Linked DNA regions of Alligator mississippiensis. Each later gene encodes a partner of the first gene's protein in a complex. Links are inferred from orthologs where the notes say so. Each region holds a gene or a part of one and is shown on either strand. Other genes may lie near its edges.

What was found.
Region 2: the proteins of MYO6 (region 1) and CLTA are in contact, whole or in part, in an NMR structure (PDB 6E5N), measured with the Homo sapiens proteins. The link is inferred for Alligator mississippiensis from reciprocal best matches to the Homo sapiens genes MYO6 and CLTA. Residues at the interface, in NP_001355794.1 of Homo sapiens: Met1053, Thr1054, Pro1055, Met1058, Ala1059, Met1062, Ser1087, Trp1089, Lys1090, Tyr1091, Glu1113, Arg1117, Leu1118, Val1120, Tyr1121, Trp1124, Asn1128; in NP_009027.1 of Homo sapiens: Glu47, Asn48, Glu50, Ala51, Phe52, Ile54, Leu55, Asp56, Gly57, Gly58, Ala59, Pro60, Gly61.
Region 3: the proteins of MYO6 (region 1) and TOM1 are in contact, whole or in part, in a crystal structure (PDB 6J56), measured with the Homo sapiens proteins. The link is inferred for Alligator mississippiensis from reciprocal best matches to the Homo sapiens genes MYO6 and TOM1. Residues at the interface, in NP_001355794.1 of Homo sapiens: Ile1182, Phe1184, Trp1202, Gln1214, Glu1216, His1218, Asp1220, Lys1221, Pro1222, Ile1224, Leu1226, Glu1234, Met1235, Cys1236, Leu1238, Glu1242, Thr1243, Gly1244, Leu1245, Arg1247; in NP_005479.1 of Homo sapiens: Ser440, Glu441, Phe443, Phe446, Leu447, Arg450, Ala451, Ala453, Ala454, Asp455, Leu457, Pro458, Asn459, Leu460, Ser461.

Annotation. Positions count from the first base shown.
Region 1 is NC_081824.1:65,992,788-66,000,125, forward strand, and holds the start of MYO6 (unconventional myosin-VI), read left to right. Parts: upstream 1-4,257; 5' UTR 4,258-4,353; intron 4,354-7,338. UniProt on the Homo sapiens protein: Myosins are actin-based motor molecules with ATPase activity. Unconventional myosins serve in intracellular movements. Myosin 6 is a reverse-direction motor protein that moves towards the minus-end of actin filaments.
Region 2 is NC_081826.1:150,237,816-150,245,097, forward strand, and holds the start of CLTA (clathrin light chain A), read left to right. Parts: upstream 1-4,239; 5' UTR 4,240-4,328; coding exon 4,329-4,569; intron 4,570-7,282. UniProt on the Homo sapiens protein: Clathrin is the major protein of the polyhedral coat of coated pits and vesicles.
Region 3 is NC_081827.1:101,669,633-101,677,048, reverse strand, and holds the start of TOM1 (target of Myb1 membrane trafficking protein), read left to right. Parts: upstream 1-4,406; 5' UTR 4,407-4,464; coding exon 4,465-4,516; intron 4,517-7,416.

The DNA.
Region 1 (7,338 bases):
AGAACACAGAGCCCCCTTCCAGCTGGTGCAACAGTCATTGCCTTGAGTTACACACCCTCTGGCTTGTTCTCTTCTGGCCCACACTATCTTCCTTTCTTGGCTGCTCAGGGGGCGAACTTCAAAAGGACCACTGGGGATGCAACCGGATAACACCTAACCTGAGGTGGTTAGGGCACTGCTGAGAAATCAGAGATGAAAGTTCAAACCCTCTCTGGGTGATGGGGACCCATCACCCAGGTCTCCTGCTTCCTGGGTGAGCACCCTAGGCACTCTGCTATTCCATTTATAATTATGGGCTCTGGACAGTTACATTTTTGTGGCTTACGTGTCCAGAAAAGGTTTGCATACACAGGTGCATACCTGCCAGCCAATATGTAACCTACAGCATATGTTCAGTCTAATAAAAGTGAGTACCTATGAGTGGAAACAGATTTTGCTTTTTGTTACACTTGTATCTCCATAAAAATGTTGATGTCTGCCCAAAGGCCAAGCAAACAGACATTAAACCCTTTGCTGTGCCACAAATGCCCAAAATTTATGGCTGCAGCAAGGCGGTATTAATGTATGCCTCTTTATTGCTGGAGTCTGATTTGTGGCAGGAGACTGCCTGCACATCCTAAATGACCTGGGCGAGCGCTCTGTGAGTTTGAGGGACCAGCTCCTGTGCCCCCCAAGAATTCCTGCATGGGATCAGGTCCCTCAAGCCCTGGGAATGCCTGCCTGGCTTTCCTCTCTTACAGGGACCTGGCCCCAGGATCTCTGGGGTACACCTCCCTAGCCAGGGAAAGTTGGGTTTCCTTTACAGAGATGTGCCCCTGGGAAATATTGGGGCCATGTCTCTGTAGGCGGGGAAGCATCCTGTAGGCGGGAAAGCAGACATACGCGGGGCCTCAGGGGCCCAATTCTGCATGGGAATTCCTGAAGTATGTAGGACCAGGCTCCTCAAGTCCTGGGAGAACACGTCACCCATTGTCCCACAGCATCAACAAGTGGGACAATGGGTGATGTATGTCTCACCCAATGAAGTGGATCAGTAGTGCCAGGACACATGCCAGCACAACTCATCCACTTCATTTGGCGACTTCATATTTCTAGCCTCAGCACCCACAGTGCAAGGTAAGAAAATAACAACCTGTACCTAAGTGCTAAAAAGGCTACTTCTATGGCTAGAAAACTGCCAGTCAGGCACACAAAATGTAGTAGAATTTCATCCTTGGTGTCCACTGGCCCACAATCACCCGAGATGGCATCATGCTAGGTAATCACCCAAAGAGAAAAAGATTTGACAAGATGTGTTGTGCACATGGATTCCACGTCTCACCCATGTTCCTCACTACTACCTAGTCCTAATCCTTTGAAATTCTGTTGGAAAAAGACATGAAGGACAGTTGGGTCCACTCTATGCTTAAACCCTCCAGTACAGGGACTAGGTCAAAGATAATCTGTTGTGCAGACGCAGCCTTGATGGACGCTGTTGGGCAGAGGAATCCAGTCCCATGCACATGGAGTGGACAATAGCAATAAACCAACACTATAATACAACACACACATTCAGATGAACAGTGATAAGATCTCACAAAATCTATAGTTGTCCTCCCTCATGGTTCTCCTGGCTTTGGTACTGTGCTCTTAGGATCCTTGAAGGATTTTGATGTGCTTTATTTTCCAAGAAGCTGGGACAGCACTGATGTACTTCTTGCTCCACATGATAGATTATTTTTAGCAAACAGTAAATTCTGGAGACTTTTTTGAAAGAGTTATGTCTACATTTTCCATCTGTACCAAATGTACTTTTTTGGATTTCTTCTTTTGCATGGAAAACAGAATGTGCTTTACTTAATAGGAAGAATATAGTCATGGTATGGTACAGTCATTGGGACTGCTACAATGCATATATTATTCCTGCTTAGATGGCCATTAAGTTCAGTCTCGCTGATGAAAATTTATTTCCTAAAATGACTGTAAAGTAAAAATAGACCTGACCTAAAATCCCAAATTGGCCATCCTGCCCTTATCCATAGTTTTGGAAAAGCTTAACATGATTCAGACTCTCTAGCTTTGGTTCATCTCTTTTATAGATGAAGTTTGAGATGTCTCTTGCTGTTGGTTCCTTGTGTACAGAAAAGGTAAAAGTGAAATACATTTCATCATTTTTAGTTGGTCTAATAAAAGATACTGGATTTACCCAAAGAATGTTGTCTACCATACATTTCATCATGTATTTTATTCCAAGTCACAGAAAAATACCAAGAATAATTCTTACATCCACGTTTTAACTTTGGTGTTCATTTTCCTCTAAATTGCTTTCTTATGAGAAGTTGGCGGACACAGCTGGAGAACAAACTGTATCCTGGATTTTTTTTAGAGCTCCCCAAGAGAAAAGTATAAGACAGATATATTCTTTTTAACCAGGAAGTGGAACCTGAGGTCTTGAAGAAATTCTCTGCAGTGTTACAGCAAACATTTGGATGCACAACATCTTTTCACAAGTGTAATCTATCACAATGTTTATCTGTTTAAAAGGTAACAGCCCTTGATTTAGTCATCTCTTGTAAAGTTCACAAAGAGGAAGTGAAGTATTTCCATTCCAAGCTGCAGTCATTGCCCACAACAATTTTAAGAAATGTGTTTACCTCCAAGTTAAATAAAATTGTCCCTGAAAATGACAAATACATTGAATATCCATAAGGACACAAAGACCAAGGACCAAAGACAAAGGAATATTTATGAGTTATTTTAAAATAATTTGTTCCAAGGTTAATATAAATTTAGGTAATACAAATGATATGGTCAGGTGAAGCTCAGCAGGTCTCTCAGGAGTTTCTCTAAATACTTCCTTCTAAAAATGGTGATAACTGCTAACTTTTTTTTCCTGCTTTAGGATGATGCACCCCAAAGTTCAGCCACTCTAAATTTCAGAGTCTTTATTTGTATAGGGAAAAAAAATCCCTCAGGAAGAACCGAGTAATTTGTATACATTAAATATGTTTGGTTGACCATTTCCTGCCAGGATGTAGCCTATTTCCATGAGGCTTTTTAACTAGTCAGCACATGCTAAATATAACACAGTTTGCCATTCACATTCCCCCCTCCCCAACATAAAAATAATCCTTATCTGGGTGTATGTTCTGCAAACAGAAATCAGGATTAACTACTGTCCTGAAAGGCAATATTTGAAATGGCCGGTATCACACTCCCCTGGTCTAGGAACTCAGAACTGTCACTGGAAAAAACCTGGAATTAGTTTTAAACACCATATGAAGGCATCCGGGAGCATCCAATGAAGGGCAATAGTGGCAAAATGTGGGTTTGAAGAGACCTGGGTGCTTTCTGCCCAAAACTGAACACGTGCCCCCTTGAGTTTGCATGCACATCTGAGCCCCTGGGATGTGACATGCTCTGAACTTGACATGCACCTGCAAACACACCTGAACTTGACACAGCCACCCTCCCCCCCCGAATCTGGTGCACACACACCTACATGTGATGTGTGTGCACCACCCCCCCCCCCCCACCTTGGACACCTCTCCTGAACTTGGCACACACGCCTGCACTCCTGAATCTCACACACCTGAACCTCTCTCTTTCTCTCTCTCTCTCAGGGGTGCAGGTTGTAGCCCTGTTGGTCTAAGGACAGAGTCAAGCAAGGTTCTTTGGGTGAATCTGATATCATTTATTAGACCAACTTAAATAGCTGGAAATTTTTTTTTAGCAAGCTTTCTGGTTTAAAAACCCTTGGTCAGGCTGGGGAAACCTCTGCAGTCAGTGTTGCTTTTCCTGGGTGGATGCAATTCTTTACTATTCATCCCAGCCACCAACTGCAGAGCCTTCCCCAGCCTGACCAAGGGTTTTTTAAACCGGAAAGCTTGCTACAATTGTTTTTTTTTCCAGCTATTTAAGTTGGCCGAATAAAAGATATCAGACTCACCCAAAGCACCTTGTCTCCCTCTTACACCCCCCAACCTGTCTCACAGCCCCCACTCCTGAACCTGTTACACACACGTACGTGTTGGTGTAATAAAAGATACCAGATTCACCCAGAGATCCTTGTCTGCACACACGCACCTCGTGAACTGCACACCTGTGGACCTGTCGCGCACGCATACGCGCTCCCCCTCCCCCCGCCTGTCACGCCCAGCCCTAACCGCGGGAACCCGCCCGCTCGCCCCCGCCTCGGGCCGGCCGCTGGTGCCGGCCGCCCCTCTCCTGCCGGCGGCGCTTCCGGGGCGGGGCCGGGCCGCAGCACCGCCCCCCGCCCCGCCCCGCCCCGCCCCGCTCGCAGCCGGCGCTGACGTGCGCCTGGCCCGTGGAGCAGCAGCGCCCGCCGGACACGGAGCTCAGCAGCGCCCGGCGGTAACTGCGCCCGCGCCCCTTCCTCTCTTCTCCTCTCCCCTCCCCTCCCCGTCCACCCCCTGGGCCGCGGCGCAGCGCAGCGCAGCGCAGCGCGGGCTGCCGCGGGGCCGGGGCGGCAGGGCAGCGGCTGTGACAGCCCCGCGGGTTTGGCTGGGCCAGAAGCGGCGCCGCCTCCGCTCCTTTCCCCGGGGGCCGGCGGGGGCAGCCCGGGGAAGTGCCGCCTGGCCCGAGCCCCGCTCTGCCCCTTGGGGGCTCCCGCGCCCGGCCACGGCAGGGGCGCTTGCACCGAGTCGGGCGCTGCTGCCCTCGCCCCGCCGGGGGGGGGCCTCGTGCCCTGCCCTACCCTGCCCTGCCCCGCGGCCCGCCCGCCCTCCTCCCCGTGCCCGCGGGGCCGAGCGGCAGGCGCGGGGCTCAGGGGTGCAGGGCCTCCCTGGGGACCCCCGGAAGCCGCCCTCCGGTGACTGTTCACCACCTCCTCCTCTGCTAGATAAGTGGGACGATGATAATTAATTTCATAACACGTATTTAATTAATAATACTAGTAGTAATTATCATCATCAGAACTTCCTTACTGCTCGAGGCGGGTATCCTGCCTGCCTTGACAGCAGGGTTGTTGGTTGTAGTCTCCTGGGTCTTAAGGGCAGAGGCAGGCATGGTTGCTTGGGTAGATGTGATCTCTTTTATTAGACCAACTCCAAAGCTGGAAAAACGGTTCTTTGCAAGCCTGAAAGTTGGCAAAGCTTGTAAAGAACCTTTTTCCGACTTTGGAGTTGGTCTGTCTAATAAAAGAGACCGCATCTATCTGGGGACCCTTGCCTGCCTTGACAGCAGCCTTCTGTGGCGTTCGGGTGATGGCTTGTGTGGGATGCTCTGGGCAGGGCTGCCTGCCTCAGGCAGGGGTGAGATGATCAGCCTGAGTTTCTCAACCTGTGGGTCACGACCCAAAAATGGGTCACAAGAATAATGGATCAACATACTTTCAAAAAGGATTCTTCTTTCAAGGAGAAAATCGGGGGAAACTGGCTTTTCCCTTGCAGGTTGGCAGAGTTTCACCCTGCAAGGGGCTGCTTGGGGCACCCCTTACCCCCACATCCCCCTCCCCCACACACTGGGGGAGCTGGGACCTGGGGGCAGGGGAGCACTGGGTTGGGAGTGAGGGGCACTGGGTTGGGACTGGATATCGGTGTTAACAAATGGATCCTGGTACAAAAAAGGTTGCGAACCATTGGACTAGATGACCTCTGGAGGTCCCTTCCAGCCCTGCTTCTCTCTGACTCTTTGTCATCTAAAAGACGACAACTTCTCCATGATGCTGCTGGAGCGTCTGTGTGTGCGTTAATTCGCTTTTCCTAATGCGCATTAAATTTAGTACCGTACCTCCAATGTGAGGTACTAAATAAATGCGTGTTAGGCTAACCAGAGGCACTGTATCGAAAGCAGACATTTTTAAAGTGATATTTAATGCAGTTGTCTATTTTACTGCGCATTAGTGTTATTGCACTTTTTTGTACATGGCACTTTAATGTGCAATAAAATAAACTACTGCACATTAAAGCGTGCGTGTAGACTCACCCAGTGTCATCTAAGATGACAATTCCTTGCTACGGTGCTTTGGGAGAACCTTCCCCTCGCACAGATAACATCAGCCTATGTTAATGCTAAAGTTGCACGAGTTTTCAGTGGTTTGTTGTCTCCCCTTCAGGAGCTGAAGATGCTACTGTGGGGGTTGGGGAGTATAATTTTTTTTTTTTTTAATCCCATTGAAAACTTAATTTCTAAGCACTTCATTTTTAAATAATTGTCAAGCAGGGAAAGGTTTTGTGTGAAGGTTCTTTGCCTTATGCTTACTCAGTCATTGCCTGAAGTTCAGTGCCCAGCATGTCTTGGGTATCATTAATGTTTACATGCTATATGACAGATGCATTCCTAAGCAGTAAGTCCTATAATACCAGAAACCTGTAAAACTTTGTTGTGGCTAAATTAATGGACAGCACAGATTAAATGAAAGGGTGTTTTCTACCTCTCGCGTAGTTTACGTGCTGTTGCTGGTATGCAGCAGCCCTTTTGTTTCTGACCATGGAGCGTATGTGTATGTCATAATTTTAAAATTGGTGCCTTGGGTAGGTCAGGAAGGAAAATAACTTTCTGTGATGTGATCTAATTTCTCTTTGTTTAGCTGAAGTTATTAGGCTGTAAAATGGTCTATGAACTCAGTCTGCAGCAATCAGAGTACAAAGGTTGACAATAGAGCCTAGTTTTCCTTTGTTGCAAATGTCACAAATTAACAGGATGTAAAGAGGTTAAATTCTCGGGTCAAATTCAGCATACAGTTATTTTTCAAGAAAAAAAAAAGGGAAAACGTGTTGCTTTTCTTCTTTAAGCTGTGTGTTTAAAGCTTCTGGAATATTTTCAAAACAAAGTCTTCCTGTGGTATTTGATGAGCATTGCGACACATCTTTACATTGTTTGCCTAAGATGTGAGAATGGAGTGATTGTAGACAAAAGTGAAACTAGTTGACTTATTTGACTTCATTGTATAGACTGGCATAAATGCAAAATAAAAATATTGAAAAGTAAACATTTACTAATCCTTGAAAGTATTTTTACCATGGTAAAAATATAAATTTTAACTTGACCGTATCTTTCAGTACACTTTTTTAAAAAAAAACAGAAATAGGTTAACTAATTACATTTTATAGAACTATAATAGCAGCTTTGTGAAACATAAAAATCTTGAGAATGACTGACTACACTAAGAATAAAGACAATACTATATAATTTGATAGTCTCTGGTTATAATTTTAACTTGTACATCCAGTTTATATTAAATAATTGTATCTAGTATCTTTTTATCTTAAGTTTTTAACAAGGCTTTTGATACTATCCCATTTGACATTCTTACAGGCAGGCTAAGGAATTATGCCTAGATGAGGTGGGTATACACTCAGTTGGAAAATTGCTTTTAATGAATAATCTCCCTTAAAC
Region 2 (7,282 bases), on another chromosome or scaffold:
CCCATTCTTAGAATGCGTACCCCCCTGGAACTCACAGCCCTCCATCCCCTTCTCAAAACCCATATCCTTTTGCCCCTGCTCTTGAAACCACTTGTCTCCCCTTCCCTTTCTTCCCTTCCCCTCCACTTCCTCCCAGGTTTTGCCAAGGCAGCAACTCTGCCTTTTACGCCACTGGTTTCTGTTAATAAGTATTACTCTAACCAGTCTTTACAAAGTTTCCCCCTTGGTGTGAAGTATAGCCAGTGTGTTATGGATGAATTAACACACCTGCCACAGCTGTTACAGCTTCATAAACAATAAAACCAACATCAGCAAAGGAAATGGAATCACTTATCTTTGGGAAGGATACCTTGGTTGTTATGCAAAACATTTCAAGGTGCACCTGAATTCTAGATTACTCAAGTCATATCTTTCCACCCAGGGAACATGCCAAATCATTACATAAGAAGTTTCTTCTCAACCTTCCTTGAAGAGTCAGTTTTTATACCAGGGATTAATTTGACCCATTCTGATGTAAATGATGTAGAAATTGTTCTGCATTCTGAATTTGAAAGCTATTCAGAGACTCAGTAGTATCCTATGGCTAGGATCCTATTTTAGCCAATTCTGCTTATATTTCACATTTCTCCTTTCCTATTCTCTGCTAATATTCTTAAGAATTCTTTTCCTGAAGCTGACTCCTCATTTCAGTTCATAATGTGATGTTGCAGTCACTTCCACAGAAACACACTGTGGCACTGAGCCAGCAAGGAGGGGTAGCGGGGAAACAGAAGAGAGATGGAGAGACCGGAAGCTGGTAAGTGCTTTGTGTCACTTAACTAAGGGTGCTGTTACAGGTTATATTTAAGCCATTCTGAATCTGGAATGTTAGGTCATCTTAAAGTAAGAGTAGTTTCAGAGCAGCCACAGGTTCAAGCTTAATGACATCGCAGACACGCACAAATGTGACTTGCCACTAAAGGGCCTGATGACCAAGGGCATGGACTCTTTATTGGGTGTGAGACAAAGCGGGAGGGTGGCATGTAGCTTGGAAACTAGCATGGGGGCTGTGGCTTCCCTCCCTCCACAGCAGCAGGAACCAAGCTGGAACCATGAGTGGGAGGAAAGAAATATTGAAAAACTGTTGGAAATGAAAGGAAAGGGGAGAAGTAAAGAGGAAGAAGCGAAAAAGAATAATAATAAAAAAAACCCTAAATCTTGCATGTGTCAATGAATTGGGATTGGGTCAAGTGGTGGTGGTGGGGAGTTGGGTTAGGGGTGGCAAGTTTCATGCTGCATGAGATGGAGGAACTGTCCTGGCTTGGGCGGGCTGTGCGGGGAAGGCATAGCCAGGGCATAGGGCTGAGAACAAGCATGCTTGCTGCATGACGCAGAGCACGTGTGGGGCTTGTGGGGCCAGGGAAACTGAGGCATGATGAAGTGGCCAGCTGGCAGTGGTGGGGAGGGGGGACTGAGTGGTGTGGTGGAGGGGAGGCACAGCCATGGGTTGTGGTGCCAGTGGGGAAGGGAGGGGGCTGGTATAGCAAGGAAGGAGGGAAGGAGACCCCTCTGCATCAGACCACCTTGGTCTCCTTAAAACCTTTAAGATTATGTAAAGCATTATGTAATTATTTAAAGCATTTTTAGTTGAAACAAACTAAAAAAATAAAGATGTTTTCATGTGTTAATGAACCGTGGGTGGTGGAAAGGGCTGGTCCCCCGGGAGTTCCCTGGCTCAGCCCAGCCAGCTGGCCCTATGCTAGCCTTCTCTGGGGAAAGCGGGGGGGGGGGGGGCAGATTGAGTTGGGTGGAGTGGGGTCATGCAGCCTGGGAGCAGGGTTGCTGAGACATGAGGGGTCATATCTTCCCATCCTGGCTGGGAGGATTGTCCTGGCAAGCCCCAGGTGCCTACAACAAGCCCTGCTGAGCCCCCCAGTTCCATCCCAGGTGGGAGAGTTTAGATGGGCCCAAGCTTCTCTCCCTTCTCCCCAAGTCCTCTATGGTCCCGTCACAACCTAGGAGGGAGGGAGCTGGTGTGCACCAAGTCAGTGAGCTTAGGTGACTGGCTCCAGGCCAGCTGTTTGCAAAGAGCTCTACAAAACCGGACTTCAGTCCCTAACCCCATCCCCATCCCTCCAAGCCATGGGTGGGCAATTATTTTGGGCGGAGGGCCGCTTATTGAGTTTGGGCAAGCCATCGAGGGCTGCATGACAGGCAGCCCGGGGCAGATAATTATTAATTTTCTAAATTTTTTAGGGGTCCCACGGGCCAGATAGAATGGCCTGGTGGGCTGTATCTGGCCCGTGGGCCGCATTTTGCCCACCCATGCTCCAAGCTTTGCTCAGGCCTGCCTGTGCCTTTAAACTGGACACAAAGTGTGGGAAAATTTCAATTAAGCTCAGTTTACTTGAGGTCAGTTGAAATTTTCCCACACCTACCTGGCCCTTTTCCCCTGTTCTCTCTTAGCCAGTCAGGTAGTGGGAGTAGAGTGGGGGGACAGCTTTCCTCAAGCCCCCTCCAAGTCTTGACCCAAGTAAAGAAGAATACGGGAAGGAAGCTCGATAGCGTGGGTCCAGGGAGTCATGCTTCCCTGGCACCAGAGATAAGCCCCAGCAGCAAGGAGCAGAGCTGCTGTAGGGAGAAAACACGGAATACAGGGAGGCATGTTTCCCCGGGCCCTAGTCTCACTGCAGTTACCTCCTGGCACCTCCACCCCCAGTGCAGAACTGCCAGCTGGGAGACCAGCGGAGGTTTGGAAGGTGGAAAGGGGTAAAGATGCTGGGAGCTGTGCTTCCTGAGATGCTGGAAGACTACAAATTGATGGCTTTATCTCTATGGAGCAGCCTAACACCTTATCTCCATCTGGGTCGAACAGCTCAAAAATAACCCTCATCCCAACTGGTAACGTTTAAAATGCTTATAGAATAGGTTAACACCCTTTCATGCATGAGTATTCCCATTTTAAGTGCCTTGAGAATAGTTTAAAGGTAACCTTTAAACCCACCCAAAAAGAAGTGACTAAGACCGTGGCTTTCAGCTGGGATGCCACAAGAAGTTGCCCATGGTGCTGTGAAGCTGGCACTGCTGGTGCCACCACTGCAGGGTGAAACTGGCCGGCATGCCTTGGTTTTCAGGAAGCATGTTGGGATCAGGAAGAGCTGTAACAGAAGTGGTGTACAGGCCCCCACAATGTAATACACGAAGGTGCACCTTTCTGGTGCAGCTGTGTCTCAGTTCAGCTCCAACGTGCTTCCTGAAAACAGGTGCGGGGGACAGTTTCATTTGCCCCAGACACCTCTTTCCAGGAGACACCATGCAAGGTCTGACCAGGCAGCACATGCTCCTGCCACAGCTGCTTCCCAATCTGGCTCTCCAAGAGGCGCACAGTGCAGTTCCACCTGGCCAGGGCAAGGGTGGCAGTGACAGCACTGTGGTACCCCGGTGGCCTGCCCCCTTCCCCACCCTGGCCTTGTGTGTGTTTTTGTCCACCTCCTTCCCCTCTCGCCTCCCCAGTGCTCCCCACATGCTCTGAGCACAGCCCAGCATCTGGTCCTCGGACTGTCCCTTATGTTCCCAGGGTTCAATATTAATAACATGAATTATTAATAGCCGGATGCCGTTAACATTCATAATACAGCGTTAGTTTTTTTAAATGGGGTTCTGCAAATTCGGGCAGGTTTTGGAGGGCTGCCTGGAGCCTAAAAAGGTTGAGAACCACTGATAGTGCACTTGTTTTATTTAGATCCCAGTCAGCATCACCATGTTGTGATCAGTCCGAGGTAATGCTTACTGCCGTCCCCCAATCTGGGCCTGTGCTGCCGGCAACGGGAGGAGGGAGACACGCGGAGGTCACCCCAGGAGAGGGTGCTGCTCCTGTCCCAGGACCTGGGCTGGTTTGAGAGCAGTGCTGGGGCCCAAGCTCAGGCCTGGAAACCTCTGACCGGGGTCGCGGCAGCACAAGGCCCCAGCCCGGACCCGGCCGCCCCTGGGACTCCCACGTAGCCCCCGGGCCCAGACACCACCGCACGGGAGGGGAGGGGAGGGGAGGGGAGGGGGAATGGAACGGAGCGGAGCGCGCTGATTGGCCTCATCCCACCCTGACTCATCCCTGCTCCCCCAGTGGGGGGGTGGTGTCACATGAGGACCCCGCTGTCCCCGCCTCCCTCCTCGCTCTGATTGGCTGCGCTGGCCCGCATGGCTTCACGTTCATTGGTGGTCATCCCCGTCAGCTCTCGCCGCGCCCGTGCCCAGCGGCATTTCCGGGCAAGCCGGGGACGCGGCCTGGGACCGGAAGTGGGCTTTGCTCGCGTGCCATCCGTTGCCTCCCGCTCGCGCCCCGCTTCGCCGCCATGGCTGAGTTCGACCTGTTCAGCGCGCCGCTCGCCCCGCAGCCTCCCGCCCCCGGCTTGGGGGGCGACGGCCCCGGTCTGGGCAACGGGCCGCTGGGCGCCGCCGAGGAAGACCCGGCCGCCGCCTTCCTGGCGCAGCAGGAGAACGAGATCGCGGGCATCGAGAACGACGAGGGCTACAGCGTCCTGGAGAATGGCGACGTGCCCACCGGCCTGCAGGGCCCCGACGGGCCCGGCCCAGGTACGCCCGGCCGGGGGAGGAGGGGAGGCTTGTGGAAGCGGGTCGCGCCCCCACCCTGCCCGGCCGCCGGCACGCGTCGGATTCCTGAGCGCTCTCGCCGGCTCTTGTTTGGTACAAACACGTCCTCGCTCGCTTCTCGCAGGATCCGTTGCCCTTGTTCTGACCTGGGAGCCAGGCACTGCCGCTTGGGACCCCTCTCTGCCTCCGGGCTCTTGCCTTGTTCTGTTCCAGACCTTGTTTTGATGTCTGGTGACTGTTTGCATCCAGCCAGGCCCAAGCTCGAGCTTTGTAGGATGAAAGATGGGTATATGGGGGTGCAGTTGTCCTTTCACTGTCTCTCTCTCTTTTTTTTTTTTTTTTTTTTTTTTTTCCTGCTTAAAGCTGGAGTTTAGAGCAATAATACCCTGTTTTGAGACTTTGATTCTGGCCTTGCTTCCTTCAGAGTTGAGTAACTGAAATAATCTTGTAAGACTCCTCTGAGTTGTAGGACTTGCAAGTCTGCTCCTGTGGAGCATGCCTAAAGCTGGTGGCTTCACTCTGAGGGCTAAACCAAAGCTGAGCCCCGCAAAGTGGCACCAAATCGTCTCCTGTTGTATCTAGGCTCACTGGAGATGAGACTGAAGGCTGTGGTGGGGATATTTCATTAAAACATGCTGGCAATCGGGCTAATGCTCTTCTGTGGAGGCTTTAGTCACTGTCTTTAGCAAACTTCATCTTCTTCATCTCCCCTCCCCCCCCCCCCAACTTTGCCAAACACATTCCATTCTTCTTTAAGGCAGGTGCTAAGAGAAAATATTCAGCCTGTTGTTATGTCTAGAAATTGACCTGTAATCAAAGCAGCCTTAAAAATGATGTGAAGTTTCAATGTTGTTGGCTATAGCCATGTTGGCCTAAGGACATAGGCAGGCAAGGTTCTTTGGTTAGATGTGATTATTTTTTTTATTAGGCCAACTAGATGTTTGCAAAGAACATTTTTTTTCCAACTTTTTAGGCAGAAACACCCGATAACACTATAGCTATGCTTACAGCTTCTCTATATGAGGGATGTTCCTCTTGACTGAGTTCTGTCAATCCGAGTACTTGATGAACTGTTTGGAACATGCACTTGCATTTCATTTTGATCCTGGCTAAGCCTGTCGGTTTGGTCGTCCTCGCTGCTCCCCAGCATTCCAGAGAACCTGCTGCTTGTTACCATAACTAAGTTTTGAATAGCTTCTGTCTTGCCGAACACTTCATTTTGAGGTGTAGGTTCAAGATGCCTCATCTCTTCTGCACGTATTTCAAGTTGGAAGGAAAGATCAATCTTCTACTGAAAAAAGTTTGCAAATGGGAGTTGTGGTCCCTAAACTGAAGTGTCTTGCAGAATGCTGCAAGGGTGAAGAGGTAGATGGCAACAATCTGAAGCTCCCAGATCTAAAATTCAGTGGTGATCGTCTTGTCCTCAAAGGCTGCTTTTCCAGTAAGCATGGTGTAATCCTTCAGTCTCAAAGTTCATAGCTATGTATGGAGTTGCTAGTCCAGAATATTGCTTGCATAATTAGAGAGATGTCTTATGGGGGAGTAACTTCCTTAGTTTTTTGTTTGGACCTGATAGCTTATCAGAAACCCATCCTGTACTGATACCAATTACTGACTGGCTTCATAAAGAGCAGCAGATGCTGACTGAATTGAACTTTTTAAACCAAGCTCGAGGTGGGGGGGTGTATGTTTTGGTTGTGGCTTTTTTTTTGTGTGTGTAGCTTCTTTGTTTTTGTTTTGTTTTTCTTACAATAAAGTCCTCTGGTGGCAGGCGGGCAGGGGGGAATGCCCCAGTATGTCACCTGTGATATGGCCTTCTTTTGCAGTGGGACAGTTCTGAAACCAGCTCAATCAGCCCTTGCTCTGTAGTGTGGCTGCCTAACTGTGGATCCTTACCTAATTCTAAACTTTGCAAAACTAATTTGGCTTAATATCCAAAGCTAGTTCTCATTGTTTTGTATGGTGTTCATAGTCTTAATTGGTAGATCACTCAGATACAGTAAATGTCTTATGGTCACCTTAGTTGCTCTTCAAAATTAAACGGCACACATGCATGTCTTAGCTTCATGTATGGTAATCTCCTTGACTGTAAATTTCCACCTAAGCTCTTCACTTAATATTTATATATACCAGCAACCTGTTTTAATACATAATGCAATTTTGTAAGACCTTTGTTATCAGGGTTTTCCTCTTAAAATAATCCCATTGTGCTTCAGAAAAGCACAGGCTTTCAGCTGGATAGTTGCAGTTCGTTGTGATGTCTCTGTCTTCTGAAGCAGTGTGGTTGTCGTCTTCTCTTCCCCAAAGGGTGGGGGGAAGCTTATAATCTCCTAGTTCTAGGATAAAACTTTATAAAATGTTGTTGGAGTTAAATTTGGTTCCAGTGCATTTATTAAGTATCTTGTATTTAACATGACAAAGCTAGCTAACTAAATGCAGGCAGATGGCCTCCTGAACCCTGTTTACCTCCCAAATCCTGAAGCTCTGCATCAGGGGATTTAAGGATTTACTTTTTTTTTTAAAACCTTTAACCTTTTTGAACTGCGTCATACATAAATAATGCTACATTGCATGAGTTTTTGTATACCAAAGCAGGATAAAGATCTTTAAATAACTGTTTTAAAGAAATCTATTTATCTAAATTTTTGTTGCATGTGCCCAACATGGGTTACCAGTTTATGTAGTGAAGAGTGGT
Region 3 (7,416 bases), on another chromosome or scaffold:
GATGGGTTCATTGGACAGATCCCTGCTCCCCACAGCCACATGTTGGCATTCCAAGCTCCTGCTCCTCCAATGTGAGTTGCAGGAAAGCACTTGATTCTCACATAGGCTTGTGTGTATGTGTGCGTGGTGTCCATATTGTGTATTTAACTTTTACCAATATCTGTAATAGATTTTAATTTATCCTGTATATTTCTGTGTATATAGATATAATTTAAAAACAAAAGTCCTTCCCTCCACCAAGTGTGTGGAAAATATGAATCAGCTGTGCCCATCCCTAGTTCCTGCAGGAATAAGCTGCATCTGTTATGGCAAAGCTAGGCTCTGCAAGGGGGAATAGCAGCCAACAAAACTTTGAGCCCTTGTGGCCAACAGGGTGTCCAGTGATGTTGGGTGGAAGCTGAAATGGGAAGCCTTTTATTTTGGCTTTGGCCTCGCCCTCCATTATAACATTACAGATGTTAAAGTAGCAGAATCAGAGCACTTCTGTGCTGTTACAAATTGTGCTTTCTCTCTTTTCCAGGGCAGCTGAAAATGAGCTGTTCCTCATTATTGCTGAGACCTAAATCTATTTCATTTTAAAGCCAATCTTCAGGTGCCTGGAAGGGGCTTCCTGCCAGTTTCCTTCCCAGCTACTGTCTCTTGCAGAGCTTCCCCTTTTCCCAGTTCAGTGTTGCTTTTATTTGTCTATCAGAAGGGCTGGTTTGGTGGATGGAACAGGACTCTTTCAGAACCTCAGTATAAGGCAGAAATCTCTCACCCAGATATGGCTAATTTGAAGCAGAATTTGAGGGAGCTTGGAGATATGGGAAAGTCTGTCTGGCTTCTGGATCTGGACATTTACCATGGTTCTTGCAAGTGGCATAAAATGCTTGGCTCCATTTCCAGCTCTCCACAAGAGATGGAGTATTGTATCAAAGAAAAAGATTTGCAGATCTCTATCTAAGGAACAGAAGGGGATCAGCTTTAGCTTTACCATCTGTATAACAGTAAACTCTTGAAGAGTTTAGAAACACACACACAACCCTAATGTATTGTATTTTTATTTAAAATTTGTACACATTTGTATAATCTGTATCTTGTGGTATTTGGTACTAGAGGGAAAAACTTTGGACTGAGAACTAGCAGTTTTTATATTTTTGTTATTTTCCTGCCATTTGATCCAGATTGCATTACAATTGTATAAAGAAACTTTTTGTACTGTACTTACAATATAATTTTTTTTAACATTTGGAGTTTTGTGTCATTTATTTTTTTGCTTGGTATTTGTAATTTGCTGGTTGTCACTTCCCTCACTACTCTAGCTGTCCTAGCATTTCGTTTTATGGAATGAAATGTCTCTGGTATTTGAAATCTAGACCCATCCTGTGGTTCTTGGCTGGGTACTTCAGTGTCTTATTTCTAATGAAAGGCTGCTTGAAATACAACTTGGAGATTACTGAGTTGTACCATTTAGCAGCCTCAGTAAAAGACCTGCATGACTACAGAGGGTTGTCACTTAAATGCCCTAGTACCAGGTTATCTGCCTGCCCCTCTCCTTGTTTACCATTCAGTGAATGGCAGGCAAAATGATACAAGTGTTTCAGGATCCCTCAGCAATGGCAGGATCACATCTTGTAATACTCTTTCAAAACACCCTATTTTCAAGAGCAGAGAGACTCAGTTATAGGCTCAAAACTTCTGTGTAGCAATGTCCCAATATATGATGATCATGCAAAATGTGATTCCTCACCAACTCAAGTTGCACTTTTTGTAAGGAGACATTTCAACACAAGTTCAAAGGAAAATAACGTTATAACCAGGAAACACCTACCCACAACCATTTCAACACATTTAAGCAGTAGTTTTCCTGGAATTCTTCATTGTAAGGACTACAGACTTTCAGGCCCCATTTCAGGCTCACCTCATGCAACATGCTTGTTTACTACTTAGACATGGTATCAGCTTATTTGAAACCATGGAAGTGGGGGTCTTAGGCTTGCTAGTGCAGTCGCCATTGCAAAAATGGTAGCTTTTCCATTGCTTTTTCAGCTGTCCCTATCCCCACTATTGTGACCACAACAGAGCTAACAAGCCAGGCTAATCACAGAGGCAGAAGAACCAGTGTTCAGTCCATCTTACAGAGGCTGCAGCGTGAGCTAACACAATCTGCACAAATGGAAGCAATGTGGAATTGGACTTTGCCATTTGGAGTAGGCAGCTTTGTCAAAATGAGGATTGGTACTTGGTAATGGCCTTGGTGCTCTTAACAGACCTATTACATGTGCAACATTACAGCAAGGGGCACATTTTCTGGAAGTTCTTACTGGTGTTGTTGCAACTTGCAGTATTTCTCCTATGGAAGAATTGCTAGAGAGAGAGGGTTTTTTTTGTCCCTGGTCCCTTCCTGCCAAGGATTCGCAAGTAGAGGTGACAACTGGTACTGCTAAGGAGGTGTGGTGGTGGGGGATGGTACTACCAATAATGTGGGCCATGGTGGGAAGGGGTGTAAAGGCCATATCCTCTCTTGCCTGAGATTTCCCAGTGGCCAGAGAAAAGGCTATGATGACACATTGAAGGCACACCCTAAGCAAATAGATGCTGACATCAAGAGCCCCAGCTGACTGTCAACTGGAGCTGACTGTCAACTGACTCCTCAGCCTCAACCAAGCACTAGTCTGTTTCGATGGAAGAGAGGGAGTGGGGGAAGGAAAAGGAGGAGAGGAATCCTAGCCTGCAGCCTCCTCTCAGCTGCTGAAAGGCCTGCGCTGACTGTAGTTGACTCTGTGGCTCAAGGACCAGACTCTGCAAGCAGCTTGGGCTCCACAGTAGAGGCCTGCCCAGAGCTGGGGCCAGCTGAACAAAATGGCTTTGCGTGCTGTGCTCTGGCACGTGCTGGGGGTTGCAAACTGCTAGACTAGATGATCTCTTAAGATCCTTTTCAGCTTTACTTCTCTCTGCCATCTGTCTCCTGGGAACAGTGTTACCAGGTCTTAAATATGAAAATATTGTATTGGAAGCTCAAAATGATTGTATTTTCAGAAAAACTGTCATACACTGAAAAAATTTAAGTATACAACTAAGTAACATCATGTTGCCTTATACCAGGGGCAAGCGGTTATTTTGGGCAGAGGGCCACTTACTGAGTTTTGGCAGGCAATCGAGGGCTGCATGACAGGCAGCCTAGGGCAGATTAATATTAATTTTCTAAATTTTTTAGGGGCCCCACGGGTTGGATAGAATGGCCTGGCAGGCCACATCTGGCTCCCGGGCCGCATTTTGCCCACTCCTGCCTTATACTGGTATCATTGCATCCTGCACTGCACTTGACACTATGACATTTTGTTTAACTCTTTCTCCAACTGGTTAAACTGAATTGATTGCTATGATTAGTCTTTTCTCTCTGTTTTGTGTTTCAGGTCTATGTATTGTAAATTGTTCTGCAGTTACTTCATATTGCTCACTGGAAGTCCCCAGTGAGTGAGAACTGGGTCATCAAAATTGAAGTTTTGAGGCAAGCAGGCATAAGCAATTGCTGAGCATGAACCCAGAAGTTGGTTAAGATTCCCTGAGAGCAGGGTTGCCAACAGTTTGGATCTATTCTGGGAGGCTTTTGGAACACCAACATGCCCACAACACAACACGCATTTGCCCGCATGCTTGTGTATGTCAGTTATGGATTACAGTGTGTAGATTTTACATCAGGAAGGCAAATGCACATGACTAGTACATTTTAAAATCCCACTGTATAAATTGGATTCAACACTTTAACGAATGCCCTATCATTTATCTCCTGGGTGACTCTCAGCAGTCTCCTGGAGATTCGTGTCCAATTCCTGGGGACTCCAGAGCAATCCTGGAGGGTTGGCAACCCTACCGGAGAGTGACTTGCGTTTTATAGATGCTGCATCAATTAACTGCATCAAAAGCTATTGCACATTTTGTCAGGTATCCCAGTCGTAGCCCTATTGGTCTAGAGGCAAAAGGAATCAAAACTCGTGGAAGAGGTGGTATCTTTTATTAGGCCAACTAGATATGTGCAAATAAATACATTTTGAACACTTTTAGCCATGCAGGATGCGTAGGGGTGCATATGCACCCCCTGAGATTGGGTGCTCACCATGCCCCCCAGCCCTCTGGGCTAGCCAGTCAGGGCCGCCCCCTGCAGGCTGCCATCTGTTGCCAGGCCCACTAAGGGAGCCTGCAGAGCGTAAGGAAATGTCCCCCCTCCCCCGCCCCATCAGGCCCCTCCCTGTCCATACAGGGAGCCGGGAAGTGCCACGCGCCTGTGACGTCACGGCAGGCGCAGTGGCGTCACCACTCCGCTTAAGGCGAGCGGAGAACGTACTCAACCGGGGTCTCGCCCTCCAGCCAATCACAAGCGGCCGCCGCTGACGTCACAGGTGGCCGGGCCCTCAGCTCCACCCCGCGACGCTCACGTGACGGGCGCTGGCGGTCAGCTGACTGCCGAGGTGCGCGGCGGCCGCGATGGAGTTTCTCCTGGGAAACCCGTTCAGCTCCCCCGTGGGGCAGCGCATCGGTGAGTGTGGCCCCCAAGCCCCCCCCCCCCCCACGACGTCCTTGACATTTGGACTCGTCCACTAGCCGGCCCGACCCCGACCCCGCCCCCTCCCCCAGAAAGTGACCGCGCTAGCCGCCGAGTAGGTGCGTGGTAGGGGGAGTGGGGTGGGACTTACTCCCTCTTTAAGGCGGGGTTGACGCGACTTCAGCCAATGGGGAAGTGACGGTGCTTTGATTGACGGCGCTCTGCCACCAATAGGGAGGGGCCAGAGACGTGGAACCGTGGCGGCCGCCCTCCCAGCTAATCCCTACGCGAGGGGGTCGCGGGCGGCGGAGAAAGTTTCCCGCATTAAAGGTGCCGCGACCTGAGCCCCGCCCCCTGCGGGCAGGCGGGGCAGTAATTGCCTGCTTGACATCCGTCCCTCCCCCTGGCTTTCTTTGGCCAGAAGCTGCTCCCTGATTGGCTGGGGAGGCATGGGGTGTCCCTGGAGGAAGGGAGGTGGGGTGGGTACCCTTGGGTGCAGGCTGCACCTCGCTCTCAGTATGGAGCAGGGCCCTGCACTCTTGCTTCTAGGTTTTAGGCTACCCCCAAGGCATTGGCTTCTTGCAGATCCAGAACCAGCTGCTGGGCGCAGAGGTGGGTGGCGTATCCATTGCCTGGCATTGGAGCAGTGCCATGTATCCCCCCAGCCCTGGCAACAGAAACCCTTCCCCAGAGCGCTGTCTCCCCTGCTAGTGCCCCCTGCCTCCAGCAGCTCCTCACAGAGTTACCCCTTAGGCAGGGAAGCTTCTGCAAAACCCAGGGAAATCGGGCCAGACTGGACATGTGTCCGTCGTGTCATCGGTTTGGCACAGATCAGCGTTATAATGCAGATGCCATGGCCCTGCGCTGCACAGCTTCTGGCCAGGATTGATTTCTGCTACCAGCGCTAGGCACCTGCCTCAGCTTTTTGCAGGATTGGGGGTTTGTTTTATTGCAGGGTGGATTTACCACCATGTTGGGTTTTTTTAGGAAGATGACCCCTCATTATCCCCTGCCCCATGAAGGCTGTAGTAAGGCAGGGAGTCAGAGCTACCAGTTAAGCCCAAAAACGTGGAGGGAGCATGATTGGGCCTAATCCGAGACCTTGCACAACTTTAGAGAACAACGTTCCCTGTCGTCATATTAGTCATTTAACCTGAGAGAAGAGCGGGGAGGTACTGCTCTAAAGAGAAGGGGCACAAAGAAACTGTAGACAAGAATGGAAAATTGTTTTGGAGCTGAAATACAAAAAAGGGTAGGAGAGACGGGGCAGGGAGCGGGGTGCTCCCAGGAAGTTTTAAAAGGGGTTAGGTACTATTTTCTCCTATGGTTCTCTATGTATGGTCTTTCTACATATCGTGTGTGTGTGTGTGAAATAGGAATTAGGTTTTCAGAGACTTTGTCTTTCTGACAGCTGCCTTGATTGCTGGTCCTCTCTCTCTCTCTCAGCCTTTCTGTTCCACAGTGTTTTGGGTCAGATTGCCTCTTGCAGACATTGACTGTCTGAAGCCACTGGATAACTGAACCAACGACAAGCAGAGTGCATGTTCATCACAGAAATCGTCGACCGGCAGCCTCTCCTGTACACATGGACCACCTGTGTTCCTTTCCCCATAGAGCATTTGTGTACATTCCTCCTTTACAGCTGTTCCCCACCAGCCCTTTTCTCTCTTCTCTTCTCTTCTCTTCTCTTCTCTTCTCTTCTCTTCTCGGCTTTCCCCAGTGACCAAAACCCTCTGTTACCCATCTTCCTAACCAACCAAAAGTTTCCAGTGGGCTTCCTAGTCCTGCCTTGCCATGACGTTCTGTCCTAATCAGCTTCTTACTCAGACCTCATTACTGTAATATCTGAATGCCATCTAGTAGCAACATGACTAACATTAGTCATAGGTTTGGTCTCATCCTCTCCCAGTGGGGGAGAAGTCTGTGCTGTGAAGCATATTTGGAACTGTGCACATGTCCCCAGGCATGCACTCATATTGCTAGTGTTGAGCACCCAGGCAGTTGTCATGTTTTTACACCTCAAAAGTGTTGTTCTCCCTGCCCCCACATTCATTTTTTTGTGAGTGCGACTCATTTCAAAGAGACCAAAGAATGACACAAGCTATATTAATAGAGCAGTGCTGGACACTGGGAGGATGGGCAGCAGCTGGGCATGCAGCTTGCAACCCATTAATGTGGGGGGAAAGGATCAGTTTGGCTTAATCGTATAAGGGCATGTTCCTTCAGGGATGAAAAGGTGTGTGTGATTTTTATTTTTGTATTTGTTTCATCCATGCAGACAGGCTCTGTTTAGTGGAGGAGCGTTCTCACAGATGCTTCTAGTGTAAATGGCCGTTGCTTCCTGGAGTGAATGGAATTTGGTCTGGTTTGCTTTTTTTACTCGCTTCTAGATGCTGGTGGTTTCCACTCCCTTCCCTACCCCTAGATATTTTGATCAGAAGAGTACCCAGATTGTAAGCAGCTTCTCTCTGCTCATGATGGAAAAAACGGTTTGCAGCTGACCGCCAGCAACAAAGGGGAAGAGGTCAGAGTAGTCAGGGCTGGTAACGGAAGAATCGGAGAGGAGAGCCCAGTGTTGGCAGTGCCTTGCATGCGTCAGATGGAGAAGAAGGGTTATGAGAGCCCACAAGAGTGGAAGCCTCGTAGACAGTAAGGAAGAAGGTGGGCTGCACCTGGTTGTGAGTTATCAGAAGTGATGGGGATACAGCAAGGAACCATTCATGGGAGTGCTTTCCCTCTTTGGAGTTCTGCCTAGCAAAATTCTTGTGACAAGAATAAATATTATTAACCTCACCTGACAGATGAGTGGACCCAAGGCACAGAGAGTGGCTTCCCCAGAGTCTCATGGCAGATCAGTGCTCTGGATACAGACCCCAACTCCACAGTGGAGCCCC